Styela clava: one gene and its partner. The protein of the gene in region 1 purifies or fractionates together with the protein of each later gene. This does not show direct contact. Links are inferred from orthologs where the notes say so. Each region holds a gene or a part of one and is shown in the gene's direction. Other genes may lie near its edges.

Region 1 (17,437 bases):
GTGAGGGATTACAGAATATTGTGCGAGTAAGTGCTCGATTAACATGACATGAGTTGCCCATGATGATTATTTGCAATTACCAAGTACATTTTATGGTTTGAACCACTCTACAACTGTGAGAAGTCCAGCTATCCTCTTACACATTATTATCTCCCACAGGATTCAAGCCCATGCAGGTTAATTAGAGATGCGATGGCAAGTGTATTCTTGGCACTTTTTACGATGTGCCATTCAACTGAGCCATAAAAATAACTGGTTTTAAAAGACTCCATTCCGTAAATTGTCAAATTGTGTACCTGTGGAGTGTACACCCGCATTTATCAAAGTATTGATAGCTGTGAATTCTGGTATAACTTTCTGGAAACAAATGATTCCAACACACCACTGATTTGATCTAATTTGATTTGAAGCTCAATTAAATCATTTAGTCATGACTATTTCTAATTAATATCAAAACATGCTGCAGGATGATGTTACCTATTTCTGCATATGAAAAGTATTTTATTTGCACCACTCAAATAACTAAATAAAAATTTTAAATTTAATACATTCTGTCCTCTTACAGCAAAACCCTTTGATTATTGTGAATTGTCCTTATTTTCTATTTCTCTAGAATCCAGATCTGTTGGTGCTTGGTTGTGTTCAGTCTTTATTCGAAAGCGTTCTCTGTTTGTTTGTATTCTTATGGACACCAGTACTCGATCATCACCATCCACCACTTGGAATCGTATTTGCAACATTTATGTGTGCGACTCTTTGTGGAGGAGTAGCTCACAAGTATGTCTCACATTAATTTGATGTTAGTGTAGATTTGAGTGTTGCTGAAATAAGTTTTCATTTATTATTTCAGTTCTTTACTTGTTATTTGGTTTGGTTAGTTGGTGGTGTTTCCAGGTGTTGAACAATATTTAATTTCAAGATTGTTCTTCTGCATGTCAGCCGACAAATTTTATTGACCATTTCTAAATCAGATAAGTGAAGGAACTTGAAAATCTCTTTGGTGTTGCACATTCCGAATGCATGGTGACCATAGACCATGCTGTCGTAACCTTGTCTGCTAGTAGTCTTCATTTAATCTGTACTTCCTCCTAACCATCAGTTGGATAGTCAGTGGTGTCAAGGCAGGGATATTACTAACGCCCAACCTAACTGCTAAATCGAGACACCAATTTTGAACATAATTAAAATTAGAGTTAATAACACACTATTCATGGATTGCAATAATTACTTCTCATTTATTTTATGTTTGTTTTGACAGAATTCTGGTGACTGCAGTGAAATTGTCTTCAGCTGTCACTCTCACTGGTGCAATGTCAGTTGCTTGTATTGCCACTCTTGGATGTGTACTATCAACTAGTCCAACAAATGAATTCCCAATAATATCCTACATATGCTTTTTATTATTTGAATTGTCAGTTGGTGTATATTTTCCATCAATGTCAGAATTGAAAAGATTGGTAAGTATAGCTTAATAATATCGAATCTCTTAGCCAAGTATTTTGCTCTTAGAGACTAGAGAGTATCACTTAGTTCATGAGTCATATTTGAATATTCATTTAACTTTTAGGTACATTAGAATTTTCTTTTATCAACCCGTCTTCTGGCTAAGAACACAGTACTGCTTGGTTAATCACACAGGTCTATTCGTGACAATGTTTTTATTTACTGTTTACCCATTCATAACTGGCTCCAAATACTCATCCATGTGAATAATCACTGCTTATTATCAGAATACCGGTCAGGTTTTTAAGTACAATAATTTGGCGTTATGTAATGTTGCAGAAACATGGATGTGATCAGTGTCGGAGCCAGTTAATCTTCTTTCTGCAATGATCTCTTAATCATATCAATTTTTTAGCATCAGGCATTGTTATTTTATTTCTATGTGCCTAGGTGAAACCTGAATTACAAAATTTCGCTGTGACTGCTTGGTTCCGGGTTCCTTTGAATTTGTTTGCTTGTTTTGGTCTCATTATGTTACACCATAGCACCAATGCCAGTGGAACAAGAAAATTATTCTTGGCTTGTTTTTTCATGGTTGCAATAGCAGCAGTATTTTCTTTGCGATTGTTAAGGTAAGTTATTGCATAATTATTGGTTATGGTTGAATTTCAATATATATTATAGGTTGTATATTCGCTTTTCGGACATTGTATTTCTGGCTAGTGAATGCAGGAACTTATGGGAGGAAGTTATATTGTAACTGTCGTTGCATGGATCCTGATGACTCAATGACTGTGGAAACGAAGGCATGCTTTTTAACGGTATTGGTGTCGAAATCGGGGAGCTATTTCATGATCTCTCTAGTTGGGGAGTCTGAAGGCCCAGTAGAATTTAAAATCCTTGTTAGTCAGAATTCAGAATTTGATTCCAGACGAATTAAAAAAGGAATTAATTTTACTATACGATAGACAACCAAAGGTCCTAGTTGTTAAAATATTGTTTTCTTTAAGTTTAGACCAGGAGTCTAAAATTCCATCAACCTGAAGTGTCTGAGCTGGAATTTAATTCAATGTAAATATTTCTTTTGGCCACCGCATGCTTTATACTTGCATTTACATTGCTCATTTTATAACTTCATTTGCATTGCTAGGACGTCTAAATCGAAGAATATGAAGGATTCTGTAGATTTAGTAATGGAAGCAACATGAATATAATATAAATACGTACCTGCGCTACAGACGATTCGAAGGCAATGCTTGTTGAGGCAAGGGAATGCAGAAAATTGAATCTATGTCGATTGTTACTGAAGAAAAAAGTCTATAATGTGGATTATTTTATATATACCGTATGTTATACACTATGTCCATTCTGATGCAATAAATTCTTATTACTTTTATTCAAATTACAACATGGAGTATTGGCTGAATTGCAACCTTTTCTTTTTTGTAAGAAAGTAAATCGGATAGACAGATTAACGAATAGAGCAAGCATTAGGAGTTCAAAGCAAACTGCCCGCGCGTCGCCCCGTCTGTCATGGGATACGAATCCACTCGAGAGCAGGGGTGCACGCATGCCCAAGGTGGCATGCCATAAGACTTAGCGTGACACGCGGTCCGTTTGGTGAAAATTGCATTTATTTCTACTAAATCACGTTTATATCGAAAGAAGCTAAATCGCCATGTTTATTCACACAAACGTGAATATACCTTCACGAAAACTATTCAAAACGCTTTCAAGTTCTGAAGACGCAAATGAAATTGTTTCAAAGAAAAATCCTATTTATGATAAATTCTAAGGAGGACCTAAACTAAAGTATGCGCACCAAGATGGCGCACAACCTGAACTCCGGTTGTGTACCAGGTTAGGGTTCAGGTTATGCGACATCTTGGTGCGCATACTTCAGGAGTACCAATTTTTAATAACTCGCGTTTATGTCGAAATAAACGAAATCCCCGTGTATACTCACACAAATGCGTTGGGACTTTAGTGAATACTTTTCGAAACGCTTTCAAGGGCTTAAACAGGGGTCGGCAACTTTTTGTCGCTCGCGGGCCAAAATTAAGGGTTGCAAGTCATTGGCGGGCCGCACATATTTGTGAAAGTTTAAAACCGAACGGATGATACTTCTTATTATAAAAATCAAGCAGTGATACATCTCTAGAATAGAATATAGATTTATTGCATTTAGCATCAACTTTTATTCGTTTAGTTGCCATTTGTCTAATTATATTATAGGCTCATTAAGCGAGTATTTGTCAATTTTATACTTGTGAGATTATAATATAATTTATTCTACACGTGTCTCGCACAATAAATTCTGTTACACAGAGAATATAATCGTCAAAAACGGCTGTTTTGTTAACATAATTCAGTGAAACGTCGCGGGCCGGATTATATTACTCCGCGGGCCGTAGGTTGCCGACCCCTGGCTTAGATGGTCGGAGGACGCAAATTCGTTTCAAAGAACATTCAGTGTGGATGTTGAATATATTAACGACGCTGACACTCGACTGGCTGGAACTTATGAGTTAGGGTTTAGTTCAAACGAAATTTTACACGACTGTTTTTCAGCAAAATTCATTACTTGAGTTTGACTTTCGCCTTGAAGAAGTATCCAGTTTTGTTGAGAAATGAAAAAATATGAATTTGTCAACCAGGCATTTTTAATCGTGAAAAAAGCAAAGCTTAGCTGCAGACTCTGTTAACCCTTCTACAGCCGGAACGCCCATATGGGTGTACTTTTAAAAAAATTGTAAAATTTATGTACTTATAGAGTATATCGCTCTTAGCTGTTTATCGACGTAATGAGAGAAGCGATAAAACCTTCCAGCCGTGACGCAAAGTGCGAATCCTATAAATATCCTGGATTTCAAAATCACCTGTCAGACGTCTGAAAAATGTGACTCCCTTCAGACAGGAAATACTCCTTTATAACGACTTATTATTGTTTTAGCATGTATTTTCAGTCATACTAACTATCCCTGACCATCCCTGGCGCTGTGTTGTTTTGATAAATATGATTTCGAATGCTCCATAGTTGGCAGAGGTATGGAGATTTTTTGTATGTAAAAAAAACGTAAAATTAATGGTAATTTTAACGCGTAAATGCGCGTATGAGATTGGTTACGCCGTTCTACGCGCATTTCCGTCGAAAAAATTTAATTTTTTTGCATTGGGGGTGGTCTGTGCAGTAATAATAAGAGCTGTGACGTCATCAGTATCGGTAATTTGACCTTGAACTTGACAATACTGTAAATACAATTGTGAATTTCAGAGTGATAACCATTTATGCTATAATAGTCGTTTTGGTATTGTTATGTTAGGAAAAACTTGACGAAAACGTTGAAGAAAAAATTAATTAATTAGGAATTAATTATTAACCCTCTACTGTACACAGAATATCTCAAAGTCCAATTTTTTTTTTAGAAATTTTTGAAATTTTTTTGCAAAAATTTTTTTCGAGGGGTGTGTTTTAAAGATATATTGCTGAATAGAACTCTAGCAGACGCTTTTAAAAACCCATGAATAAAGCTTTAGGGATTAATGGTTGACATAAAAAAATAAGTTTAAAAATACCCATAAAATGGGCAGGGCTTGAGGCTTAAAAAGGGTTAACTGATTAAGATTCGGTGATGCGCATCACTATTTCTCGTTTGAAGACCAACATTTCAAATTTGGTCCACCAAAAACGTTTTCGAAAAAGTAGTTTTTTTCAGGGCGTTGAACGGTTTCAGTAAATAATTATTTGTTTGCGTTTTACAGAAGTGCATTTCACCGTAACTTCAATAATGTTAAAAAGCGTCAGTTCCTAAATGTTTCAAGTAGCATTTCATCAAAACTTCAATACTGTTAAAAAGCGTCAGTCGTTAAATATTTAAATTGCATTTCACCGTAACTTCAATATTGCTAAAACAAGTCAGTCGGTATATACTGTCAGATTTAGGTACACGAATGTTCCATGCTATATGTTAATTACGTAAAACGGTTGACTGTGAATATAATGAAATAATTACCAGCAATCCATAAAGAAGGAGGGCGGGATGGAAATGCCTTCCCGGTGGTTGTCCACCATTAAATCAAATCATCTAACAGAAGTAATTTTGTTTATTTATTTTTTTATTGCAAAATAATTTTAAATCTTCTAACCGATAGGTGGTGGTGGTTTTATTGCGCTAGACCAGTGGTTCCCAAACTGGGGTCCGTAAAGCACTTTCGGAGGGTCCGCGAAACAAATCCATAATATGGCTAATAGGCTGATAATACAAAAATTAAGTGTCTAAATTTGCAAATACACATTTGTCGCCTTTTGCTGTTTTGCAATCACCGCTGGAGACACTGATTCCTCACCTTTTGTTTCGATCACGCTGCCCCATTTTGATATCACAGCGAGAGTTCGGTTCATGCCCCCACAAGCTTACTGACTGCATGGCTGTAGCTGACGCCGCCCTTTTGCTGGACTGGATGTCACACATGTCATTGGAGTTGTGCTTTATATAATTTTATTCGTTTCACTATACGGCGCATTGATTTTCTGTTGTGATCTTTTAATGTTTTATTTTAGCGCACAAGGCCGGATATCATTAAAAAAAATTCAAGGGGTCAGTCATGGAATTTTTTTCAAAAAGTTCGGGAACCACTGCGCTAGACTTACCAGCTTTGATGGCATCGCAATTCGCAAGTTACACATCTCGGGTTAGAATCCTATCGCTCATCGTAGGCAATGACAATGGAAAGTTCCAGTCCTCCCAAATTGAAGTGTTTATTTATCAATCATCATTTTTTTGTCAAGACAATATAAATATATCCCGGTAACGAACTCTTGCGCAACCCGGTGTCCGTTTACTACTGCGTTCCACTCCACTATAAGCAACCATATTTATTGGACACGAAATGTACATAAATATATATATGAACCATTTGGTTATTATGTTGTTGTTCTTGTTGGTATTTTTCTTATTGTTTTTATGGAAAACCCGCTTTTCTCATCAACTATTGGACCAATTGCTTTGAAATTTTCAGTGATTAAAGATTGTATTTCGAAGACCCCTTTCCTTTGATGCCCTTAGCACGTGCCTATTTCGATTAATGGTTAATCTAGCCTTGAGTGTAGCTGTGTGACTCCCAGCATAAAGAAACAAAAAAGTATAGGACTCGGTGACAAATTAAGATGTTTGGGAAGTACTCCTTACTATTGGCATATTTTTAAATCTAAAATAACCATCAATGTAAACCACCTGCTAGAGGCGCTGTGTAATGTTAAGAAACATGTTATATATATATTGAAGAGTGGAATAAAAAATACTACATCCATAAAATACTCAAATATTATTTATGATAAAAATGTTATCAATTGGGAACTTATTTAAAGAACTTATTTAAATTCATTTTTTCAAGTGTAATATTATTTATGCGATAAAACGTAGAATGTTATAAAAAATCAATCAATCATCATTTATTTATCAACACACTATAAGCATAAACATTACAAATATCAAAAGAGAAATAACTTAAATTGTGCGACAGCAGTCGTGCAAAATCTGAAAAGTGAATAAAACATAAATATCACACACGTTCACCTACCAAAAACAAAACAAGCACAAAACCTAAGGAAATCTATATACTGTATACATATTTGAGATCGAAATCAGATACCCCCGAAAATAAAATAGCTGACAGATGGTACCGAACCGCAAAGTGGCGTTAGATACTCAAAATTTTCGGGATTATGGTTTTGGGAGAAAATACTTTCCCTGGGCGAGGTTTATCTGTATTTGGTATCGACTGTGGTTGGAAAAAGTGAGTAATGTCTGCTTGTAATTCACCAGTCAGTCAGTATATGTTTTGTTGATTTTCTCCTTTGCGTTTGTCGATTCAGAGTCGGCTGATACTAAGTACAAGTTATGGTGAAGCGAAGGGTTCAATAACTGAAAAGAACCCTTGTTTCAATAGCCGAAAAGCAAAGTCAATGTCAGCTTGTCTGTTTGTCGTAACGGTATCTCATACATTCAGACATTGGAATGCAGATTTCTGATATTTTTAGGTTGGAGCTACCGTGTTTCCCCGAAAATAATACTTACGGTACCCTGGAAATAAGACCTAGTTAGCATGAATTTTTAAAATGATTTTAATAGTCAATAAAGCAAAATTATTTTTAACCAGCAAGAAATCTTTCATACTCGTTTTAAAGGATTAATAATCTATGTTTAGCAGTTATTTTAAATAAAAACTTGTTATTTATTTGTAAATGGATATCGTTTTTCATATTTTGTATATTTGAAAATTTAGTAATTCTCTAAATGAAAATAGGAGACATTCCCCCAAAGTAAGCCCTAGTGTTATTTTTCGAAAGAAAATTGAAATAATAAACTGTCTTATTTTCGGGGAAAGACTGTAAAATAACTGTTTTAGCCTAGATGTTAATGATTATATTAATCAGTTTCTAAGATCTGTAGTTACTAAGTTAAGAACTCTTGTGAAAGTCATTTTTGACTTTGGTGTCCAAAGTAGTCTGGTAGTCTAAAAAAGCACCCACATCTTCAGATTTTAGTTTAACTATTTAAGCAAGCAGTCTGTTTTGATCATATTGATGTTTGAATTCTGTAATGTGGTGAACATAATGGTTAACGTTAACATTTTTTATATTTATACATACTGTTTTTTATTTTGAGTTTAGATTTTGCATATAATTTCATTCTATATTCAAATTTTGACAGATTTCTACATACTGTGTTTTTTTATATTATTTTATAAATAGAAAATCATAAAAATTCATTACTAGCGAAGATGCGTCTTCTCTTTTCTTTTTGTCTTCTGCTTGTTTTATTATTTGAGTATGGAAATGGTAAGTGTTTAAATTAGCATATTACTGTTTTAGCGCCTAGTTTATACAGTTGTTATGTGAGTGGAGGTCATATGAATGCTTACTATATATTTTATCATTCTGTCAATCAAGATATTTATAGTATTAATGACCACAATCAATAAACAGACATCTAAATATATTTGTTTAGGGAAACTGGACTTTATTTTTGACTCAGATGCTTGTTAATGATATTTGCATTTCTCACTTTACATTATTTTTTATCCAAATAGTATTTAAAATAGTATGACTTTTATTTTGCATATCTGAGTTTTAATTACATTCATTCAGTACATTCATTTAAAAATAATACAGTTCTTCTATATTTCAAGGTGACAACCCATGTGTAGATAAGAATGCAAAATCATGCAGTGAGTGCATGCAAGTTGCTGGATGTGGATGGTGTGAACAACCTGTAAGTCTTGAATAATAACAATTAAAAAACTTCCATTCAATAAGTATGTAGATTTTGAGTCAAACAATAACTTTGATGATAATGTTACCTAATTTCCAATTTCATCTTTCATCGAAATTGTCTCGTAGATATTGAATAAAAAAGAACAGTTCAATTCAGGAAGTAGCCTACAGAAGTACTTGAAATGGAAATTACTTCCTGGATTATCTAATGTGACTCAGTATTGTATTGATGGAACTAAAATGTTTGTAAACAATATCATAAAACGTTGAGAATGAAATATGGTAGAACATAGCTCATAATATGATCATATCATATGGAAAACCCCAACCTGTTCATTTAATTACCAGTTTTCAGTTTGGTAATGGTATGCTAGTGCTAGTCTGATATATTAGTTTGTGACCTATCCTACACATAAAGCATAGATTTAAACCAGGGGTTCCCAAACTTTATTAGTCGCGGGCCAAAGTTAGAATCGGAGGGATGTTCGCGGGCCGGAAGAGTGTGGCGCCCAGAAGTGCGCGACGGTTTAGCTGGGGTTCACCACGGCTGTTATGTATCCAAAAATGTCTGTTTTCGGAGTCTAGTTTTCCTTTGTGTCTTGACATCTCTTTCTTATATGGTTCGTAACTAAATTACTGCCCTATGTAATCCCAATACGAATAATTGAGCTACCGCTATAATGTAATTGTTACGATAATCAGGTGCCTCAACTGTGATAATGGTGTAACACTTGGCGCTATCTGGAACGCAAAATAGCAGAAACAAAATCTTTTGCACACTATTTCACTTGAGCTCGGCGGGCCTTTTTTGATCGTTAAGCGGGCCGGTTTTGGCCCCCGGGCCGCGGTTTGGGAACCCCTGATTTAAACTTATAACGATTCTTTGGATTTTCTATTTATTTTTTGTTATATTCCAGGAATATGCAAACAACCCCAATCTTGTTATATCGAGATGCGATTTACCAAAAAATTTAAAGGCTGGAAAATGTCCTGATGAATTCATATTGAATCCACCATCGTCTGTGAACAATACAGGTGGGTTATTTATTATATTAAATCTAGTAAAACCACACTTAGATTATTCTGTCATTCTTTTTATAAGCGATTTAGTTTGTGGATCATTTTCGAAGCTTCAAGGCCGCGGATGTACAAAATTGGTCGAGTATGTTCGAAATTCATTATTCTGCTCCCCAGTGATTTGGTCATCATGGCCTAAAAGACCTTCATTTGTTTTTTGTAAACTCTCAAAAAAAGCTTATCGATCAAATTACAGGTGCAACAACACAAATTATCAAATTTTATCTTAATTAAATTCCATGCTTTTCCAAAAAAAACTAATTGAATATACATGACCTCTATATGTTCTTTGTTGAGGATGGCCCAATTTAGAATAGATTCAATATTCTTCGATGGTTGAAAAGAATATTTTAGTATCGAGATGTATTTTTTGATGTAGCCAACCTTGCTGAAAAGGTTATAGAATTTTAATATGTGAGACACCACCTAAATGCGAGTTATGTCAGAGTGCCAAGCGATGAAGCATGTATAAAGAAGAGTATTCGAATAAAAAAGATTATTGCTACGTCATGATAGCTTTTTTGTTCTGGGAGGACGTGCAGATGTCTTTGTTTGCCTTGTTTTTGTAAATATTTTTCTCAACATATTTTCATTTTACATTAAAGTTGATGACCCACATTCATCAGTTGGAAGCTCAGATGTTGGGAAGGCAACACAACTCAAACCACAAAAGATTGATGCCAAATTGAGGCCAGGTAGTTATTTTGACAATTCTTCAATTTTTTCAGCATTTTTACGAGTTTATATGTTCCAAAGCTCTGCGATACAAGTTGTTATTTTCCTTGCAGAGTCTAGCTGATGCATGCATATAATGAATTTTTGTATCATTATGACCATAAAATTCACAGTTACCACTATATTATTTATCAAATGTTGCCTGCAAAGCTACAATATATTATTATACTCATGTATTTATGAAAGTTATTTGTATGGTGATTATATATCCCATACAAACATATCTCAATAGTTTACTACAGAATTTTTATGGCCAAATATTTTTATGTATGCCTTCATATATTTCCACCTCTCATTCAAGTCTCATTCAATATTTTGTTACATTGTTTTGCCGTAAACTGCGCGTCTTCGAAAGTCTGACTTTGATAAGATGAAATGTTACAGAATAACTTTATTAAAATGTAATACAAGGCATTGCACCACTAATATATAAACATTAGATGATTTTCAATTCTCCTGACATTTTGGACATTCAAACTGAATCATGAACTGAAGTTTAGATATCATTAACGGACTAGCAGGCACTATTAGTGAAAGCAAATGTATATAAATTGTGTTTTATATTCTGGTACCTTCTGGAAGAAAAACCCTTAACTGTTCGAAATTTTTCACCAAAAATGCAATTTTTCCAACAGGATCTCCTGCTCAAATCCAAATATCTTACAAACAAGCTGAAGATTATCCAGTGGATTTGTATTATCTTCTCGATTTATCAAACTCCATGAAAGATGATTTAGATTCACTCAGAGAACTTGGAAAAGAATTGGGAGATAGAATGTCTTCTATTACAAGGGATTTCAGACTCGGTTTTGGATCGTTTGTCGATAAGACAGTAATGCCTTATATTTCCATGGTGCCAAAAAGGTTATTTTTTTTTAATAAACTTCACTTAGAATGTATCTTTTTGCATAAATAGACTAATTTTCTCAAATATTTGTCGGAATTTCATGTTGATTATCCGGTATTACATATTGTACAATATACAGCCCTACAAATCGTAACACGCCATACGAGTTGTCTCTGTTGGAATCAAGTTAGCATAATGACATTTCGTTTGAGTACGATCAGAGTTATTTTTAATATACCGGTAATATAAATTTTTAGTGTGATCAGATATTTTCAAATTGAAGAAAATCAAATTTTGACAACGAAAACTTTTATATATGCGTGAATAATTTTATTTATCATCTTAAAAGTCCGATTTTCCTACTCCTGTCTCTAAATATAGCGAAGTATGGAATGGCCGCACCGGCTCCGTTTACAAAATTAATGGAAACGAGCCATACCCCAAAGCTCTGGTTGATATGCAACTTTAATACATAATTAAAAGACAGAATAAAATGTTCCCATTCTTCAAAAATCAAAACAAGGCTGAAATTTATTGTTTTATTCATACCAGAAAGAAATCTATAGCACCTGGGCTTGGCTAAGTGCTAAGGCATATTATTATTACTGCTGGTGTAACGGTTTCCTTTTTGTAATATGTGGTTAGAGTTGTCTAGAGTTACTTTCTGTAAAAAAGGAGTCGAAGAATAAACAGTCAATTTATTATACTGTTGTTGATTAAAGAACTGTATTAATTCTCTCTAGTGCCGCAAATACTTTCATTAATATTATCCTGTAACATTTTGTCTGACCAAAGTCAAAATTCCACAGACAAAAAGTTTTGTTACTGTTTATTACTTAATTGTAGTCCAGAGCTCTGTTAGGAGTGAAAAACATTTCACAAAAAGAATTATAGTAATCGTTCTTTAGCACTAACTAATTATTGGATCTCCGCTCCAGGAGACCTTTTATTCTCAGTCGTTCTGTCTGTCTGTTTGTTTAGCTGTAGCGGCTGAACTGCTTGGCCGATCTAGTGAAATTTTTCATGTGGGGTATACTGTCACCCTAGTAATGTGTGTTTCACCTAAAGTCCGAATTGGTGTTTCGTTTCCATGGCATCAGCAACAAAACGCGATCGCTGAGAAATTTATAGTTATTTCACAATTTGTTCCCATTATTTTGTAAATTACCTCAAACTAAAATTCTGAAATTGTTATCTTCATGCTGAAGTAAATACACAAGCCGATTTCCATCTTGGTAATCCATAAACTCAAGGAGTTTTACGAAAGTTAGTGAACATGATCAAATATAAGCCGCAGTATACCACTCACACAAGGATACCAAAGAGATGCGCAGCGCTCGCAGTTTTGATATTCTGGTCACTGCAGTACGCTGTCATTTTAGGTGCAATATTGCGGGGATGATAATAGTTCAGTGAACTGCGGGCCGCCTCATGTATCAGTGGACATCCTGGGCGCCTACCGGCTTGTATTAGATAAAAAATTGATGAAATATTTTTCTTCACAGACGTCTTAATCCATGTACTGATAATAAACCTTGCCAACCTACATACACGTTCAGCAATGAATTACCACTCACTAAGGATATTGATGAATTCGTGAGATCTGTCAAATCTGTCAATCATTCCTCTAATCTGGATTCTCCAGAAGGAGGCTTTGATGCTATGATGCAAGCTATTGTTTGTGAGGTGAGATGATTTAATATTGTATTGGAATTCAGGGTGTAAGGAGAATTTAGTTTTGATAATTGTGTGATACATTTATACGAATGTGTTTCAATCTCGAATTTGTGTGAATTAAATTTTCAAGTGTCTCTGTTTTATATATCAAGGGACTATTCATAATTTGCTCTTTAATAATATTATTTGAAATGCTTTTATTCACAGACGTGCAAAATGAATCAAATTCTGTGCCCACTGCCTTACCCAGAGTGTCTTGCATTTTACTAGATATATTGATGGAAATTATAGTGAATAAACTTGAAAAGAATTCAAAAATGCCCTTTTGGGAATTGATACATCATCTGAGTTGTTACTCTTGTGGTTTATAATTGATTTATAGATCGCCATGAAGTCATATGTTATTTTGTAATTGACTGTGGTTGATTTCCTGTTGGCAGATATCATACAGTTTTCTAATTTGGCTTGGTGTCGTGTTAAACATTGGAAATTTACATGGTATTATACCAGTGTTTCCCAACCCGAGTCCGCGGTCTCAAATGAGTCCGCGAAACATTTGAATGAGTCCGCAACCAGAAATTCACTGCGAGCCGCAAGCGTTTTTGCAAAAGTTAACTATCAGCCAAGTTACGATTTACGTTAAAATTCACATAAAACATAAAAAGCAAGTTTATTCACATAACATTAATCAAGTCATTTAGTACTAGTTACTGAGTATGACTGGGCATATATTCGAATATTCAACTATTAGAAATAGCAATTCACTATTCAAAAATTTGGTAACAGGTGACGCGACAGGTCAAAACGATTGGATTTCACAACTCACTTGCGAATTTCCGACAAAAACCCGAGCACACGCGTGGTGTTTCTCGCGAGTTCGAACAACGAGAAATAATTTTTTTAGTAGGCGTCAAGGGTGGCAACCCAAATTTTCTAAATTAAAAAGCGGCAATACAAAAAACTGAAAATAAAACGGAGAACACCATAACTTTTGTTTTATGATTGTACGCGACCGATTAAAAACACTTCTTTAGACATTGCAAATCGCAAAATTTCGGTGGATACTGTAGTATATGTACCAGGGCATTTTCCCTTAGACCTCCACATTGGTACGTACAGTACTGGAGCGCCGTAAGTATTGTACGAACAGCTCAGATTTGTTGAATTCACAAAAATACGAATCAAAACAAAATATAATTGGGCACATTACCACGCTTTTTTGTGTCCACGGATTGTCATGATATTTTTTTTTGATCAGTATTGCTTTTATTTCGTCCACACAACCGCAGATTAAAATGATCACCATTAAATTAATAATAAAGCAAGGTTGTATTTTTGATTTACAAATATACTTCAAATATATTTTTAATAAGTACTAAATCAAGTTGTACTTTCTGGAAATTATAGCAGATAGTAGGATTTTTCTAACGACGATAACAAATTTGCAAGATCTCTAAGAATATGTATCAAAACTAAATACGAGAATATCGATCGAAACTGCGGTTTCGATTCATGACTCTATAGTGACACCGCGTGTCCCATCACTAATTAATTAATAACTCGCTAATTATACGACATAATTCATCCAAAATCAATAGGCTTTTGGTCCGAGATATGATGAATGCACATGCAATTTGGAGCAGATTCAACCTCGCCTTCGTGAGATACAGAGTACGGTTGCAATAAACGCACCTTGAGTCCGCGAAGGTTTTCGCCGGTGAGAAATTAGTCCGCGACCAAAAAAGGTTGGGAAACGCTGTATTATACCATTGAAAATATATTCAAGAAGTGTGTTGATCATATCTCAAACAACAAATTAAAAGTCGTTGTTTTCTCTGTGTTGATTGAACTCTAGCAGTTAAGATATCATGCGTTTTAATCTGACCTACTTAAAATCCCTAATATACAAACAAAGATATTCTGAATTCTTATAATTTAAATCATTCCCGAATTCTAAAATTTACCATACCGAATATAATGAATTTCGAATTTGAATATTAGATTCGTTTCGGACTGATTAGAACTGAACTACTATTCAAATTTATTTGATCCAATTATCAGGTTTTTTGTATCAAATATTTATATTACAGGATTTTATCAAATGGAGGAAAGAGGCAACCCATCTGCTCGTTTACGTCACTGATGCTGGATTCCATTATGCTGGGGATGGAAAACTTGGTGGCATTGTCGCTCCAAATGATGGGCATTGTTATCTCGATGGCAGAGGCCAATATTACAAAGCTAACGAAATGGTAAGTTATAGATTATTTGGGGAATTTGGAAAATCTTTAAAATTATATTAAACCAGTTTTATATGATATTGTTTTGTGGTATAGCGGAATTCTTGGAAATATTGTTAGAGATTAATGCATAATTTGTGTGACTGTTTTGGTTACCTCTCCAGATCGTAGTAACCTCTGTGTTAAATGTTATGGTCAAAAGACGTTGGAGTTAATTTACCTCTGACGGGGCTCCCGAAGTATGCGAACCAAGATGGCGGACATCGGAATGTAATATGTGTATTATGTTAGGGTTAGGCCATAATTTTAGGTATAAATACTACGGGAGGCTCTTGGCTAGTCTTCGAACTGATAATAGGACTAAAATAAGGAAAATTGGAAAAAAATTATCGCCTAACCTGTTAACCTTGGTTCGCATACTTCGGGAGCACCCATCTGACTCTGAACTCTCAACCTATTAAAAACAAATCCGACTCCCAACTGAAAAAACTTTTGACTCCGATTCTAACTCCGTTCCTCAATAAAACCAAATTTTGATGACATAAGCATTGGCATACAAATGCCATCTTAAATTTTTTATCGATAATGCCTTTTACACATATTCTTATGAATTTTTACTCCGATTATCATGATTAAAAATTAAAAAAATTTTGAATTTCATCCTAGAAAATTGAAAATTTTACTCTTGCCTCAATTTCCGACTCGGATATCAATAATGACATGCCAAACTCAACATGTCAGTAGTAGCATGCCTCCTGAAACTTGGAGTTTTGTTCTCTGCGGTAATTGATATGATTATTTTCAGGATTATCCCTCAGTTGGACACTTGGTACAGAAAATAAATGATTTTAATATTCAACCAATTTTTGCCGTCACAAAGGAAGTTATTACTACATACAAGGTAATTTAGGAATGTTTTATTAAATATACAATTTAAGTGCTGTATAATTTTTTTTGCTTAAATGCAAAAATATTGATACCTGTATATAATAATGAAACAAACAAATACTATTTGTACATGAAACAAATAAATGTCACTGGTTTCAATTGAAAATTTTTATACGACTGACTGTGAAAACCTAATTTCAGCAAAACCTATCAAAATATGTCTTTATTTGTTTAAGTTATTAGCATGTACATGTTAACACCGTGGTGTGAATTCTAGCTAGAGGAAACCAATGAGTATACTGCTGTTAATAAATTATGTCAAAAGCTTTTAACTTTACATGAAACAAGACTAAGAGAACAAATCATAAATGAAAAAGTTTCAATTTATTAATTGATCCGTTATCCATAAATATGACATTTCTCGTACAAGTACAAATACCAACATTTTCACGCTTTACCACTGATCTATTTCTATATATGTATTTCCTTGCACTTCATAAACTCTTACTATCAACTACCTAAATTTTAATATTCTGTTTTAAGAAACTTCAAGATTTAATTCCGAAATCTGCAGTCGGCGAACTGACAGCTGATTCATCTAATATTATTGACTTGATACAAGATGCCTATAATGCTCTTAAAGATACGGTAAGAACCAATTTTACACAGGCATACTTATCTAAATTTGTAAATTTGATATCACAATCAATTATTTTAATGAAGTATATATTATATTGAGTGTTTCAAAGGTATTGCATCACACTTTCATGATTTTCATTTTGTTACATTTTGTCTGAGATGTCTGATTGTTATCAGGAGAAACATTACAGAATAAAATTTGTGAAATTGTAAAGCAAAGACATCAAACCGCTCAAATAGCAGTATAAATCATTCTATAGTCTCGCCACTAGTACGGTGGTTTTGGTGCCCCACAAGGGGGGGGGGGGGGCATTTGTGGACAATTTTTTAAGGGGTCGTGCAGCGGATTAAAGATAAAAAATATTAGTTATATTTGATCTTTCCTGCTTTATTTTGGATATTCACATTTCTTTATTGTTTAAAGATTGCGATTCCATCCATGTCTATTACTTTGTTATTTAGTGGCATTACTTTTGTATTTCGCTTAAATACTGTGAGCATATCAATAATTGAGATATTTTTTTTTACACTTTTCCAAGGTTGTTTTGGGTGTTGAATTACCAGAAGGAGTTGAAGTCATGGACAAGAAAAGTCATTGTTTAACTGGCACCAGGG
Region 2 (17,723 bases), on another chromosome or scaffold:
AATACCACAGCATTTTTAACACGAAAGTTTAGAGCCTACTACCTGCGTAATGCAAAATCAATTTTTTAATGTACTGATTGAAATAAATTGTAGTCTTTGATATTTTATAGCAGATCTAGGGATTTCTCGGACGGTCCTATAAATAGCTTCTGATAGATACAGTCACTGATGCAAGAACATCATAATTGTAAAACTAATTCGTAACATCGCAAAAATATGAATCAAAACTAAGTATAATCGGGCACTTGGAAACACTTTTTATGGCCGTGAATGTGATGTGATATTTCATCATAGTAATGTTCTCAATTTGTGGGCGCAGCCGCAAAATAAATGTGTATTTAATTTATAAAAAAATAATAAATAGACTCCTATGGTCGCCAATGAAATACTTTGCACAACTGCAAAATCGCTAACCGACAACATAACATACCAGTAAAAAAAACATTAATTGTCGAAAAAGTGGGCTCTTTTCACGAGTGGCCTGCCTAATTGGGTCGACAGTTGCATAAAAATTTTAGGATTCGTTATGATTTACCCTTTCCCCCAATGATAATATCAACCTACGCATTATCGAATCTTTCTTCATGACATTTTGTGTCGCGTTAATATGCAAAATTCTGGTTGATAATGCCTCAGAAAGTATTCCGGGATCCTTTGTATAAAGATTCTTTATAAAAAACCACCGCCTCCGCTCCAAAATTAAATGTAAATTATGAATATTTCAATTACATTTTTAGGGTGGGTGGAGGCTAAGAATCCAGGTTGCGTCGGAAATTCAAAACCTCAAATCATTCCTAACCCGAACCACAACTGGATAGTTACTAATTTGTTATTTCAGGACGTAGTTTTTTTTTGACAGCGATGGAGGCTTTGTACAAAAGATCCGTATTTCGCAGGCCTTCGGATACAAAATTGTAAACGAATCCCTCTAATCACGATTAACTGATTTATAAAACGTAGGCATTTTTTCGACATTTACCATTGTTTTAATCATTGAGCAGAAGTTATAAATTTTTTATTACTTTCAAATATAACGTCTATCGTGCACAAAAATATCACATTTTCATAAAGTGAGATTACTCCTTCTCTATTAAACCGTATGCGTTTGCCGATAAGAGAGCGTAACTATGCTACGACAATGGTCATTTTGATCTATTGTTAGAGGTATCGATAATCCAAAAAAATGTGTTGGAAATAGTGTTGTTGCCAGTAATATGAATACGGTAACACTTGCGATCCCGTTCTCTCTGTACAGTTCTTGGAGGTTTGTTACTTTACGCCAAACATACACTGAATTGCCTGAATGCTTCGTGGGCCGCACGAAAGTCCTTGGCGGGCCGCATGCGGCCCGCGGGCCGCAGGTTTGTCACCTCTGGTCTAGAAACACTACAAGGCATGGGTGGCCAACACGTCGATCGCGATCGACTATAGTCGATCGCCACGTCTCGAGTGGTCGATCGCGTCTGATGCTGAGTGAATTTCAAATTTACCTCAATAAATTGTCTTGAACCAATTTAATGTAGCGCATGTTGTGTGTTTCAAAACAGAACAAATACAGTACTGAGCATGAGAAAAATACAGTATACACATATAGCCTGAACATATTATTACGCAACAAACGAGGTGCTGCCGCTGCTAAGGTTTGTAATTGAACTTGCCGAATATCAAGTGTCTTGACTGAGAAACGATCATACAATAACTTCTGCAGTTTGCGGCGGTTATTGTCACACTCCAAAAGAAGTGTGGTGAAGTGTATTTGCAACGGTAGCAATGGCATCAGAATACTCATTTTTTTTTCTTATTCCAATTGAGCGAATGATCGGACTTGGTGGAAATTTTAAATTAGATATACTGAAGTTTGAGCAGTCTTGTAACATTTATGGTTGGAGAATATTTATTTTTCGCTGCCTAAATAATAAATGGATACTTTGCAAGGTCTTTTGAGGAATTTTGAACACTTACAACTAAAATTAGGTAGACCTTACATGTGAACTGTATGATTCGAATAAATTCTAAATAAATGATGAAAAATTACTCTAGCTACAATTAAATAATCAGATTAACAAATTAAAAATAAAAATTTCAATGGCGATTTTAGTAAAAATGCGCCCACAGCGCCGAGTTTATTTATTGGCAGTGGTGGAATTTTTTGTATGCATGTGTGCAGTTATCTGCATATTCAGTACTCATTCGTTTTTATGTATTTCCTTATTACCGATCAGTCGATCACGAGCTATTTTGAAGATTTTAGTCGATCGCGGTCGAAAGCAGGTTGGCCACCCCTACTATAAGGTAATAAACCCTAATTGCATTCGTTTCTTAGCTTTCGATATCCATAATATAATTATTTCATCTTTTGTAAGAGAAAAGTCGATCGTACCATGATAATTCAAGAAAAACCTCCAGTTTCCCCATTGTTCGTATGTCGTCACTGAGAGAACTGAAATTGAGCCTGGAATCTCCAATCAGTATCATTGACTTGGTATGTTTACTTTTATTTGAGTATTTGAAGCACGCAAAAATTTAATCATAAATAAAACTTACACGAATTAATCCAACTTTTACTATCGAGCTAGTTAGTAATTAATGAAATTCTCAATGAAATCGGGCGGATCTGGTTATAGTTTTTGTATCTGCTACGGTTTCCTTTTGTCTCAAATTTTGTTTGAGTTCCCAATGGTTTATAGGAAGACTGGCATCTTCTCTTTGACAATGTAAGACAAATGAACTTTACCCTCTTTCCAACACTGTCCATAAAACCTTCTTTTCCTATTCCCCTTGATGTCACCGGTGAAAAACAAAAATAAACGTGCAAAAAATAATATACATTCGATTTACTGTAAGTCATTTTGCCACCGTGACTCGAGAGTAATCCACTAGTGAATAGTAAAATGTATGTACAAAACCCAGTGGGCCTATTTTTAGTATATGATTTCGTAAAATCGTCTGTGCTTTTGCTTTGCCGCTCCAAATTAGCGCCGGACAATGTGGTTGGTCACATTGTATACTAGTTCTGTACCGCTGGTATACATTGTCTCAATTTTACTTTGCAGTATGTGCTTGCAATTGTCAACCGTGATTTCGTTACATATTTAATTATGTTCGAGTTTAATTTTGAATGATATATAATAAAGCAGGGGTGTCAAACTCGTGGGTTATCGAGGGCCGCATTGCATTTTGGGAATTGCGCAAAGGGCCGCAAACAGTTTTTGATATATTTTGGTAATATAGCATATATATTTTTAGATAGGTGTAATTTGTGACATATATTGTGATGCAGTTAAACAGTCGAATGCAGTTTTGTTATTTTCTGAAATTACCAAATTCCATTTACATATTAATTTTATCATTTCACTATTATTGCAATTTACTGTATTTATTACAAAAAATCATGTGCTTTAGAATTTTGAGAAATGCAGGAATATTGCAACTTCCATTTTTTTAAATGCCACCTTTGGGATGGACTTTGCGTTTCATTTTAATACCTGTTTTTATTTTCAAGTATTCTTTTGCTAGCTTGAGGTGTAGGCCTATCTATATTTGGGTCAAATTGAAAACAAAAAAAAATTAATTTTCCAAAATTACTTTCAGTAACTTGTTGTTTTTTGTGTGAATAATCAATTTTACTTCGAAAGGTTTAAAAAATGTATTACATTTGGATAAAAAAAAACTTACAAAATATTACAATTATTGTTAAAACCCTTTATATGCGTTGGTCCCAATCGACTTTTTATACCTCTTTTATAATATGACATAAATAGTTAATCAAACACGCTAGTACATTTCCCAATATATCTTTAAAAAGCTTATTTAATCAAACACGCTAGTACATTTCCCAATATATCTTTAAAAAGCTTATTTTCCAAATTACGTAGCGCAAATGCGTCCGACCTTATGCCGGTAAGAAGAGAGAAATTTCAAAAAATTTCGAGAAAAAGTTTCTTACTTTTAACGCTGTGGTCAACACGTGATTGATATGCGAGAGAAAGAGTTTTCTTTTGGACGAGTTTTACCTCACCTTCAAAATAAAACAAGAGTGGGATTTTGAAGTGAAGTGATATTCGTTTTATCGAAGAGCATTTGATTTTCTGATTTGGAAAATTTCTGATCCGTACATACCAGAAAAAACAAAAAAAAAAAAAAATTGATCGCGTGCTGTCTGGTATCTTTGTTTGTTTATTATGAGCCGGAGAACGTTGCTCGCGCGTTTAAAATACTTCGTTTTCAACTAGCAACAGATTCTTTGTTTATTTTTAAGCTTTGAAATATTCATACAAATAAAATTGACCTTGTAGCAAAATAAAAATTATACATAAAAAAAATATGATGACGTCACCGTAATTAAGAACAGCCGGATCAAGCATGGATAATTTAAACTCAAACATTTTAAGTTTTGAAATTGGTTTTGTTCACACGCAGACCACTATGAAATACTATTGTTCCCCCAAAATACATTTAATTTAGCCATAATCCCAAATTATGACACAGGGAACCCCTTTATGACCAGGCCGATCCTATAGAGTGCGTTCGAGGGCCGCATCGGAAGTTCTCTGGGGCCGCAAGTTTGACACCCCTGTAATAAAAGATATAAAATTCCAACGGTTATTAATGTACATTGATCACTTCTCATACCTTGGACTCCATCGCCGAATCGACCATCCCCTCCATCGAATTGGTTTATCCTTATTTTAATGTAGACTGGTTACGAAAATATTGTTACAATTTTTCATTTGAAAACCCTAATATCTTGGGAAACGCAGGTCTAGTAAGATTAGCCGTTGATTTTCCATAAACATTGAAATGCACCGTTTTAATTAATTTTTAGGTCATACTGTTCGCATTTTTATGTGCTATGTAAATATTGCTCTTGTCCGTATATGTACGGGAGACGAGAGGTACTATCTATTGTACCACAAATACGAATAAACGTGTACACAAACAAAAGTTGGGCATGTATGATCCTAATTGTTCTAACATCCCATACTGGATTCATATGCATAAAACATATTTAGACTACGGCTCAGATTTTGACTTCAGCGTTCTCAATGTTCCCCATATCTTGAAGCAAACGGTTCTACATAAAAAAAATATATATATATATTTGAAGTAGCCTCAGGGTATTATCATCTTTCAGTAAATAATGACTATATAATAATTAAATATGAATTTCATAATCAAATAAAATCAAACTTCCTAGACAAGCATATTCAATCTACTATATAACTATTGCTCGTTAGGGGTATGATTGTTTAAAGACAAAATATTTAAATATTTCATTATCTCTAGGCGGTACCTGACACATCAAATCAAAGGTCATATTCTCCTACGCCATCCAAACTGAAGAAGTAAGGACATCTTGAATCCGTTTGCATATCATGTCAGAAAATCCTGCTTTAAATTATGTCAAAACGATGAATTTATTGCCTAACGACATTCTATGCAAACTTATATATATTTCTTTTTAAACTTCACTGTCTTTTTCCTTATATCTCGTGCATTTTAGGAACAGAAGACCAGCTCTTCATGACACCATCAAGCTTCTCATTCTGCTAACGTTTTCCTTGTTTCTCTCCATCACTCCTCTCATATGCGTCGTGTTTTTTGATGTCGTTTTTGCAGATATTGGTGAGTACAACGAAGGTTTTCGATGTGTTGCTCACTCACTTCTCAACTTTTAAATTTAAAAATTTTGTGAATGTGAAATTGATTGGAAAGGTTACATTTAGTTTCACAAATATAAACGGGCATAGCAAAAGTGCCATTTCATTCTTCTAATTTTTGTACGGTTACATCATTTGCCATTGAAACTGATCGCTCATTAAAACCAGTTTGAGTTTGATGCTACTTTTGTAAGGGTGTTCAAAAGCATATAAGTCGCCAAAAATTGTTGCCTTGATCAGAAATCAACGTAGGCACGATATATTAATGCTAAAACAGTCCACATATTGAAATACAATCGTGAATCCAAATTATTGTTATTGAAGACTTAGACATTGGTCGTGAAAGCACCCTTGAAAGTCTACTTATTAGTGATATTATAGATGGTAATGTTCACGAGATAGGTTTATGACTGCTTTATATTTTACAGTCCTTCGACCTGACGCAGTTTTGGTTACCTCTTCAATGACGTGTATGCATGCCACAAGTCTCCCATTTATTTTGTTGAGATATATGAGCGGCTTGCGAACTGCGTGTCATAATATTTTATTAAAATGTCCATGCCTTCATACAACGATAATCATGAAAAGACCTAGTACCTCAACAGCAATCAATAAATCGCCAACAAACGTAATACGATCCGCGACACCGTCTAGAAAATCTAGAGCGACGATCGTTGCATGTGAAGTGCCGACTGTTCCCGAAATAGAGTCAAAAGACGACGAAACTAGTGAAGAGACTGTCACTGAAGCTGTAAATTGTACATTAGATCCACAAAAAATTCTTTCTGAGAATTCTCCTCCAGAATCAGATAACAGAAAACCAACATTTGAAAAATACGAAACTGTTGTGGATCTTTCTAAATACGATTTATATGATAATTTTGCAAACAAAACAATTGAAGATATAGTGGGAAACATCAGTAAGCAGTAAAGTAATGAAAATCAATGAAAAGTATATATGTAGCTCGTTTAGATTGTAGTTTTCTAACTGGTGTCCATTCAAATAGTTTTATCATATTGCTAGATCATGTGTATATTTGACATATGAAGGAAAATCATGAACCTTTTTTATTGTTTCCATCGAAATGCTAATGAATTCTTTTCATTTTTTTTGCGGGGTGGGGGAGTCCTGTCATGTAGCTGTGTGATTGCTCTTCTTGGGGTGAACTCAAAATTTGTTTTACAAAATACCATATGAAATAAACATGTTATATATTATATTCAATAATAAGGTCCTGGGGTAGGCTACATTACCATTGGTGACATTAATTCAGATTCTCATTCCAACAATACGGCTATATTTTAGGGATGGAAATGACCGATTGTTATAAATTGTATTATATATGTATTTGCTATTTTAACAATAAAACGTTGAAAGCTGTGGCTGTATTTTGATATATATCAATTATCAAAGTTGTAGATTGTCCAAAAGTCAGATTAGAAGATCAAGGATAAACAGAATGAAATTTCAAATTTGTGTCTTCTGGCATGAAATTTTCACGTAAGTTGGCTATTTATTGGTGGCTTCTAGATTCTCTCTGCACAAGGCTCCATACGAGCAGTCTTTGAAAGGACCATAGTAATTCACTAAATAATTTTGTTAACTATGGTGTTGCATCTGGAGTAAAGTAAACCACTGATTGAAGAGAGTTTCATCCTGGGATTCTATAATCCTCAACGCGACTATACCTCCCAATATCTTGTGTAGTTCCCCAGGGATCAATTCTGGGTCATTTACTTTTTATAATCTACCTCAATGATTTTATAAACTGTTATATATTATTGTGATATATATATATATATCATGTAACACTGCTGGGTGACGCTATTTACCGTACTGTTTTGATTTCTCCGAGGCTGACATTCTTCTCTAAACGTATTTGGCTTGCTACTTAGTCTGCAACTGCTATGATATCTCACTTTTGAAGTGCTTGACTCTTACAAATGTTGTAATCGAAACTTGGTGCTTGATTATAAAAAACTAAAGACAAAATAACGACACCTGTATTGCATAAAGTTACCACAGTGCTAATATTCCCCGAATTGTCTTCAACGATGAGACAGGTAAAGCGAAAACAAAATAAACTGACTATAAATTATATTAAATTGATTTATATGCTCCCTAACAAAAATATAAGTCGACCTTTCCATATATGTTCGGTGGTAAAATGCTAACTGGAATGCCATGCATGAAATATCTTGGTATATATAATTATTAAAAATAAGTTTAAATGATATTTTCATATAGCATAACTAACAGTTGGGGTTACGTGAAACTAACTACCGTTCCTTGCTCTATGCCTTTGCGCAGGTGGATTCGTATGCGTAGAACGCAAGGATGCTGTAGCAAGAGCATGTTATCAAGGGTGACGGGAATTATGTTCAAACTTAGGCACTGCTTGACATTGCGTGCTTTGAAAATAATTTATCGTTCATTATTTCATTCTCGGCATCTTAAGTTGGGTAGTTGTTGTGAGTTTGCCAAAAAATGAAGAATTTTGGGACCTCCAGAAATATGCGCACCAAGATGGCGCACAACCTGAACATAGTATGTGTGTACCGGTTAGGATTCAGGTTGTGCGACATCTTGGTGCGCATACTTCTGGAGCACCGAATTTTGTATAAATCAATTTAATTTGACCTTTTCTCGCCTTAAAAAAGTTTTCAGCTTTAGTATAGCTATACCGTGCGCGTTTGTCTGCGAGCTCATATATAGCAAGTTATTCGCGCCCTATAATGTGTAAACGATAAAGAACCGTAATCGAGCATCGCCCCAAGACTATGAAGTAGCCGATCCCATCGAATCCACGGAGTGAAGTGATGAAGCGATGAATGAATAGATGCAGCTTCTTTTTTGACTTTATCGTGGCGTTATGAACGGTCTGTGCATTTTGCTGGTTTCCGCCATTTTCCAGTATGTTTTCAATTGATCCCAGTGTCAAGAGACAAAAACAATCATATCAACACCTATACTTTTACACAGTATATTCAAGTTGAAAATCTTCAATTACCATAACTTTATTTTGCAGTTAGAGTATATTTGTATTCAGATAGAATCAATTATTGCCGATTGGCCATAACCATGCCCTGTTTATTGAGGTTGCACATTCTCAAAAGTTGCAAGTGGCATCAAATGTATCCGAAGATTTTGAATTGGTTAAGAAATCATTTTACAGCGATACATGGTACTAATTCTAATAATTATCTGATAAATCGATGTTAAATTTCTGTTCATAAAGTACTTAGATCAGTTATCTTTTTCATCACAACGATTCTTTCTTATTTTGAGATAACTGATTTTGATCTATTCTGTTATCCCAATAGTTTCTATAGTGTTTGATGAATAAATGTATTAAATAATTTTATATGCGTTAACGATATATATATATATATATACATGAATGGCTTTGTTCTGACACATTTTGTTGTTATTACAACATTATATAATAAGCAAAGATTTCTGAAGTCAAGGGCACTTGACTAAACCGGAGTTTCTCTATTAACAGCACGATCCGATCAACCACGATCTAGAGCAAAAATCGCATATTCAAGAGCTTGTTTCCTCTTGTTCATGAATGATACAATGTTGCAAATATCATTACCTTTTATTCATGATCATGGGACCCTTGTATTATTGATCGACGATGTTATGTTTTTATAATATTGGTGATAACATTCGGGTATGGCAGAGAACAAGTCATTTGTAGAAGTTTTATTCTTCTCACATTTAGGTAGATGCAGTGTGGAGTGATCGACTAGAAAGTTGGAAATAGTTGGGAATTCATTAATACTAAAGTTTTATATACTTGAAGAAGATGATATTTATATCATTATTTTCTAAGCAAAATCGCGTGTTTTAGATTATATCCGGATGCGCCTAGCCTATCTCACGTTAACTTGTAAAACCATAAATGAGCAAGTTACCGTGTATTTTGATTAAACTGACAGTTTCACTTTGTCAAAATAATTTTTTTTATATTAATTAACAAATGTATGGTTGTACCATGTTAGGGTTTTATACTGAGGAAATGATTCGATACAACTCCGAGTAAAAGCTGCCAATATTCCCATTTGCATGCAATTATAAAAACTCGAAAATTTAAAAACTCAAGCCTAAGCTGCATTTTAGTGTCGTGGTACTTTAGTCGTCGATACTCAAGTTTTCGATCAACAATACAAATCGAGTGAAGAGCAATTAAGTTGTATGTGTATATTCTGAAAATGGCGAGCGAGATCTAGTTTGGATTTGAAGATAGCGGTTATGTCTAATCAATGCCTGAAGCCTATTAAACCAAAGACAACGCGGCTGGCAAAATCTGCATCATTATTATTCCCTTCTCGGAGCATAGCACTTCTATAAATATCTTAATAGTCTTCTTCATTGTATTCAAATGAGAATACACACAAATATTCTCGCATTAGCAATTTTTCATGTGCCTTGAGCCTACGTGTTTTCCCTTGCATTATGACTAGCATGTTTAGTTATTGTGCCAATACCATTGAATACGCTGTATGTAAATTGCTTACGACTCCATTGTGCATTCATAATATCCTCGAAAGCAAAATGATTGTGATAAACAAGTCTAGCGTCTGGCTTATATTCAGGTGGTTAAGTGATATGAGAAAATTGGAGGGAATAAAATGAGATGTGTTGTTGCCGGTCATACATCACGACGGTACACGCATGTAACGTACATTGCCTGCACATATGTTGTTATTTCAAGACATGGGGTCCATAAACAAGCACATATCATTATAAATGCACATTGCAGTCTGGATTGTGGTCTAGCACGTAAGTTCTGTGGCGGATGCTAAATTTTATATTAATCTGAAGTGTGAGGAATGATAAGCCTTCCTACAGTTAGCCATGGATTCGTTATGGATAATCATATTGTTTCTACGTTTTTGACAGCTTGGAAGAAAGCTATTTTCCACTTTACTATATATTTTGTGTCCTTTGTTATTGAATTAACGCTTCGAACATGTCTGGTGCTCGTCTAAATGGTCACAATTCATAGTAAGACTAAGCATGACAATAGATATCATCATTAACATGATTAACAGGGAAATTATATGCTCGAAGAGGAACCCATTCAAGTCACGAAGTAGGCAAATGCCGGTCTATTCAACAGCACAATATGGTCGTTTCTATTGAGCGAGAGCCTTGTAATGAGCGTGATTTCCGCTTCTTATTTCTGCCTGCAGTGTATCTAACCTATTCAACCTTCTATTTTATTTTTTGGTTACAGCAGGGTACTTGTATTTATCAAGTTTTTTGGTAGAAAGGAAAAAGACGTAGAATACAAGATGGATTGTGGAATGAAACTCATCAAGTATCTGCTTTTTGCATTCAATTTGGTGTTTTTCATCATTGCGTTAGTGCTGATCGGTGTCGGGGCTGCCGTCGAAATTAAATATCGAGATTTGGTGCAAATTACTGGCTCTACTATTTCATCCGCACCAATTTTGCTGATATGTGTTGGCGTGTTCATCATGATAATTGCATTCTTCGGATGCTGTGGGGCGTACAAGGAAAACTACTGCATGGTGACAACATTTATGGTCTCACTTCTGGTTATCTTCATCCTCGAAATGTCAGCTGGAATCGCGGCATTTGCTTTGAGAAACCGAATTGAAATTTGGATAAAGAAATCAGTGCAAGACGCCATAAGCAAATACACGCCTAAGATGAAGCCAGTTTTTGGAGTCGTGCAGGAAAAATTCAAATGTTGTGGCGCAGTTTCGTCTGTGGATTGGGAAACGAGTACCGGTTTTCAAGCAGAAGCAAAAGCCCGAATGACCCAAGCAGGAATTTCTAGTAACAATGGAACAAAAATTGTGCCAGACAGCTGCTGTATTACTCCGAAGAAAGATTGTGGATTGAAATCAGGGCACCTTATTTACACTGGAGCCAAAAATGGATGCGTTGAGAAGATTGAAGCCTTCATAAAGCGAAATGCTGGCGTGATAGGTGGCGTTGGTATCGGTATTGCATTTATACAGATCGTCGGCATTATATTCGCATGCTGTCTCATGCGTACGATAAAGAAAGAGTACGAACACGTTGCTTAGGACTAGAATATTCAATCGAACAAGTTTTACTTTTATGTTGTGTAATTAAATTAACCCATTGATTTCGAACCACAGCTTCACAGCTAAATTTCAGGACAGTTAAGTTTTATCATGACACAAACTATAAGTTTATATTTCTTCTTAATTACAACCTACTGGGTGTTTAGAAGTTCATTTTTCAGACAAGTGTGTGTTTATAGTAAAACCTGGCAAAAAGGCCGCCATGTATTTAACATGATATTAAGCTACAAGCTTCAGAGACACATATGCCAATCTTGATACTACTTTTTACGTGTGGTTTGGTGAAATCTACTTCAAAGATTGTGATATTTTCTACTACGTATTTTTCCATTACAATATTTTCTTGAAATATTCTAGGCAGCCGGTATCCATACACAATTTCTCACGTGAATAATATTATATATGTATGATAAAGTGCGTTACTGACTACCTGATTTTAGGTGAATGAATTTCAGAATGGCTTCAAAAATAATCTCACAAAATATACATAAAATACTTACTTTACAAATTTTGAAGTCTGTACCACGTACAAAAATCTGACAAATAATAGTTGATATATATCACTGGAACCAGGATACTTTTATCGCTAATTCATGATAAATAATGTTGCATCCAAGGCATGCGATCATATAACTTTCCTGTGTGAATGATAAACACTAGTCTTTTGAATAGATGATTATCATATATTATTCAATTAAACGGGCTTAAAGCATGTAACACAATTGTATTCTTTCATTATATCCATATTGCTCAATTTTTCTTTATCTAGCATATCGAATTATCTGCGACAATATACTGTATCATGCATGATAGAGCATTTCAACAATTGGCGGATGTTGTAATTTAAATTAAAATCTGGTTGAAACGATGCCCGGGCCACTCAAGATCGAACTAAAATAATTTTGAAATTGCAAATAATTACGAAAATTTAATCTGATTTATCGGGTATAAGAAAATACACACCTCAATAAAATGTGAAGTTGGATGGATGCTATTTCACTTGTTATGCAGAAATACAAAATCAAATTCTGGTTATATTTTGTGCGTTTAAGAGAAGCTAAACGTTACTGTATTTGAATGATACGTGAATGAAAGATATTTTTTTTTGTAACTGTAGTTGTATTTACTCCTTTAGGTTTTCGATATTATATTTAAAAAATTTTATCGGAAAACGGAAATTACACCGAATCCTTTAATTTCGCAAGTTCTAAGTAATTCCGCCTACTGCCCTTTATGTGAACTCAAAATTATAGATATTTTCCTGTTTAATTACTGACAAATTAAATAAGTGTAAAGAATTGCGAGATTGCAAGTTTTATTGCACCAATTGAGTAATAATTCATTCTTATGTAGAACGGAAGTTTTCGTAATATTATTTGAGCGGTGTTCCATATACATTCATCTCAAGTCTAGGCAAAAGTAATATCGACTTTCAAGAAATAGATGCATTTGGTCTAGTCTGCTCTCACAATCACACGTATATGTTTAGCAGAGTATCAATTTGCAAACTTATTTTTTGTTACTATGTTTACATTGTATTATTCAGACATAGATAATAACATATTATGGTTATACATTTATTTGAAACAGAACATAACTGCAGATATTATATGCACTATATCGTTTCTTAGTTATTTGTAGATCAATATTCAAAAATGGGGGGGGGGGGGGGGGGGGTATCCCATTTGAAAAATAGCTGACTTTTCCATTAATCTGTTTGTCCAGCAGAAATTGTATATTGATTGAAAATGTAATTGAATTGAATTCATTTGTGATCGCAATAGAAAACCCATCCAAATAAAAGCTAATAATGTGCATATTTTAGACTGCCATACCAATAGATTTTTATTTTCTGACCATTGGCTTAAATAAACGGTAGATCAAAATCTGACATGGATAGTTTGACGTTTGAACCGGCTGATGATAATGGCTCACGAGAGGCTGTGAATACTGTATTTGCAAAATATATCAATTTACAATAACATAATGATATTCTGCTAAACTGATGTTTATAACTGCATTTGTTAATTCATTATGTTGGACATTTAATTTGTAATAAAGTGGCTATATGTGTAAACTATTGAATTTATTTAAGTGGCATGCTTGGCGAGAGTAAAAAGTTTGCATATTGAAGTATAAGTTACTGCTCCAAGCTGAGTGTGTGAAGTATTGTTGCCACACTTGAATCGATTCTCTCGCGACAGTTTTGCCGACGAGGTTTTTGTCGGTTTTACATGATTTTTGCAATTTTTGCATGGTTTTAAAAGATACAAAAAATATGATATCTTCAAATCTGGCATTCTATGACATTGACGAAATGTAGAATCGAAAATGTAAAAGTTTATCTGACAGACATTACATATGACTCATCTCGTAAAAATGTTTCATTTTCGTTATTCGCAAAAGAGTTTTTTTTTCCCGATTCGTATATTAATAATTAGTTTTTGCCTGAATGCAAAATATTATATCTATAAGTTTTGCTTTAAGGAATTTCCTTCCTTTTTAAATCTCACATTGTTGACTTCAATTGTTCAATCAGAATCGGCTGATATCACTGGCGCGGGTAATAACCTGAATATACATATTAGTCGCCTGCTTGTCTAATATCAATAAGTAGTTGTGGGCAAATATTTTCTTGTTTGAAAAACAAGAACTCAAGTAAAAATGCTTCAATGGTACTGGTACGGTAATAATTTCCAACAATTTCACGATCATTTTTGTTGGTCGATAATTTTCAGTGGGTGTGATGTACAGGGTGTTCATGAAGACCTAAATTTTTAAAATCTAAATGGCTCTATCGATACCATGATTTTAGAGTTTGTTTGCTCCTACGGGTGTATTAAATGAGGTAAAAAAACTGAAAAACTCTGTTTAAAATGAAACAAAATTGATTAAGATATATTGAGAACTGACTTCATAACAAAATTGAAATTGTTTAGTTGAGTTTTATTTACCAATAATAATTCATAGGCTTCGAGAATACTGAATACTTTTCTGTAACTTGATTTTCCGTCTGACATTTGACTAATTATTTAAGATATTCCATGAATAGAATTTTCTGAATCCAATTTTCTCACTTGAACGCATTTCTCTATAGTAGGGGTGTGCAACGTTTTTGTCCGTGGGTCATATAATCAACTTCAGACACCGGAAAGATAACGACCGATATATTTAGGAAAAAGACACATACAAATAGCTATCTGAATTTTAATTCTAACCACCCGATCGCGTCCACTACCATCCCATATGTTAAAGTACTTAGTGAAAAAAGTCGAAGAATTTTAGAAGACGTAAGGAGCAAAGTTAGTTTCAAACCCCAAAACACAATAGGCCAATTGCTTTCTAATGTCCAAGAGCGCCCATGCCCTAACAAGAAAAACGGCGTGGTATATGTAACCCCATGCAGTGATTGCTTCTCTATTTACATTGGAGAAACGAAACGAAGTCTCGAAACTCGGAGAAAGAAACATCAGCGAGCTGTAAAACAAAACAAATTCGAAAAATCGGCTCTCTCGAGACATGCCCTTTCTACAGATCACAGCATTGATAGAGAAAACAGCAGGACATTAGAAAATGAAATCACTACAGGAAAAGACTATGTCTGGAAATCATATCACATTAACAAAGAGAAAAATTCAATGAACGATAAAGAAACTGCATTGTTTCCTCATATTTGTTCGAACTTGCGCCAATTCACTCTATTATCATATTGTCCCCTGTTTCAATTTTTTCACGCCGTGTTCATTTTTAAATTTTGTTTTTGTGCTCTCTATATATATACGATAGTGTACTCTTCATATCATGCCCTGATGAAGTTTTCTGAATAGAAATTCGAAACGTCGGCAAATTATATCGTTTTGCTATACACCGGTTGTGCTTGACTTATCTTATACCTGGTGCTGGCAATCATGTGCCATGTGTTTCATATATTGTTAAAAACTTGAAATACAATACCGAGGTGGTATTTCTTTTTAATTGCCACTGCATAGATAAATTTAGTACTTTAATACTCACATATACGTTCCGAAGAATTTGTAAACCACAATGACGAGGTTATTATAATAATCTATATTATTTTGATCCTTTGATTGGTAACTTCCTAAAATGCGCTTTCATCGACAAGGTATGATTAAAAATATTGTAGGGATAAAAAGGGGAAATAAGGTATGATCAACTAAATCTGACCGTAAGCAATTTCAATGGTGGTAAATAAAATTGAAAAAATTATTGTTCTTCACGAAGCAATGGTTCAGGACAACTCCTAATACTTGCGAAAATAAAATTGATTTATTTTATAAAAGTCCGACTACACTAGACATTCTAATACGTCGTGAGTGAGGTGGTTGGCATGAGATTTGAAAACGAGAACTTTTGAACTTACATAACATTACAACAAGAGAGCGATGCTCAAATATATGGACGAAGTCCGAAACTATAAGTAAATGGGGGTCTTGTAAACGTAACAATTTGTCGTAGATTAGATCGTATATGAGAGGATTAACCGTAAATATCCCTCTTGATATTTTGATATAACACACTGTGTTTCAAATTTCGTGAAAATTGGGCATTTTCAAAATGTTAGCCTTTTTTACAAAATATAATTTTATAAAAGGATATATAATCAACTCAGTTTGATATGCTGAATTTTTTTGAAAAAATATTCCATTGTTCTCATCAGGCTTTGATACAAATTATCTTATTTTTATAGACGGAATACGTAATGAATTAAAAATTATTGGAGACACCCACGCAATGGTTCTGTGCTTGCATACCTGTGATAATATCAACAGATAAACATGATCATTATCCCCTTTTTTGTCAAATCGTACCAGTTACCAATTAGAGCGACTAGCAACGCAAAATTTACTCGGTAAAATGTCGGAAATCTCATACAGATGCAAAAAACACGCAGCATAGGAGTTATTTATTGTAACAGCTGTACTGAATTTATTTTGATAAAATACATTCATAAAAAGTTGTTCAATAACACATTAAAGTAATTAATCGTGCTAATCGGTATTTAGTAATCATTTCAAAGTATTGTTTATCATCACTTAATCTGCTTGTTATGCGTGAGTTAAATAATAATTCAAGGAACCAAGAGAACAACAAAAGTAACAGCAGCGCAAAGTACGACATTTGTTTCATAACGCCACTTATAATTTGAGTCAATTTTTGGATATCTGAAACCATAGATTTGTCGCTAATAAACACGCCAACTTCTTGTTGTTGTGAAAAACTTATTTCCTCTTTAACTACGGGACCAAATGCTTTGAAATGTTCTATGGTTCAAGATTATTGTTTCAGCTAGAACGTCATTCCTTTTATTTATATCAGAAATTTCAGTTGGATTATACCACAAGGCATCAGAAATAGGAGTGGAAAGTTATTCATTTTCAAGCAAATAAAAATTCAAATATCATGTTTATATGACTTATCAAATTTTAGGTTTCAAGATATTCTTTATAAGAAATTACTTGAAATTACTTAAAACAAATGAATGAAGGATTAGTCTGACTCTCTTAAATAACGAGAGTAATTTGAAATACAAATTATATGCTATTGTTTCTCACACGTTTTTGAGATTTTCTGCTCTTAAATGAGCTTCAGTTTAAATAGGTAAATCAGTTTACAACGACTACATAAGCTTTGAGAAAAAAATTTTCCGCTTATCAAAATTCTTGCTTATCGTGCGAGATTTCGCACTAACAAAGTACAGTTTTATTGCTTAAAATTGATTTCCGGAAAAGATTAAACGCATTTCAAATCTGTTTACATTACTCAAATTCTCCGTATCAATGCAAGAGTCGTTACTAACTATAAGTTTCATAAAAAGAATTGGACAATTAATATGTGATATTGCCTAAAGGCCAAAGGCACAAAACTAATGAGAAACTGCAATTTTATTAAAAATATATGCAGTATTTGAGGCTGTTAAAAATTAATTTTATTCACAATTATGCAACGGTG

The links.
Region 2: the proteins of integrin beta-1-B-like (region 1) and CD63 antigen-like purify together in Homo sapiens (affinity purification with western blotting; 3 studies listed by BioGRID and IntAct, with this or other methods). This does not show direct contact. The link is inferred for Styela clava from reciprocal best matches to the Homo sapiens genes ITGB1 and CD63.

The regions. Positions count from the first base shown.
Region 1 is NC_135261.1:8,763,809-8,781,245, forward strand, and holds the start of integrin beta-1-B-like, read left to right. Parts: upstream 1-8,135; 5' UTR 8,136-8,226; coding exon 8,227-8,284; intron 8,285-8,634; coding exon 8,635-8,717; intron 8,718-9,636; coding exon 9,637-9,754; intron 9,755-10,401; coding exon 10,402-10,491; intron 10,492-11,166; coding exon 11,167-11,395; intron 11,396-12,883; coding exon 12,884-13,064; intron 13,065-15,145; coding exon 15,146-15,307; intron 15,308-16,100; coding exon 16,101-16,196; intron 16,197-16,726; coding exon 16,727-16,831; intron 16,832-17,361; coding exon 17,362-17,437. Other genes in the region: molybdate-anion transporter-like, read left to right, coding at 1-26, 614-777, 1,259-1,457, 1,894-2,075, 2,594-2,651.
Region 2 is NC_135262.1:14,371,992-14,389,714, reverse strand, and holds CD63 antigen-like, read left to right. Parts: upstream 1-10,884; 5' UTR 10,885-10,967; coding exon 10,968-11,732; 3' UTR 11,733-13,830; downstream 13,831-17,723. Other genes in the region: uncharacterized protein LOC120332935, read left to right, coding at 2,364-2,482, 5,287-5,345, 5,504-5,625, 6,089-6,591. UniProt on the Homo sapiens protein: Functions as a cell surface receptor for TIMP1 and plays a role in the activation of cellular signaling cascades. Plays a role in the activation of ITGB1 and integrin signaling, leading to the activation of AKT, FAK/PTK2 and MAP kinases.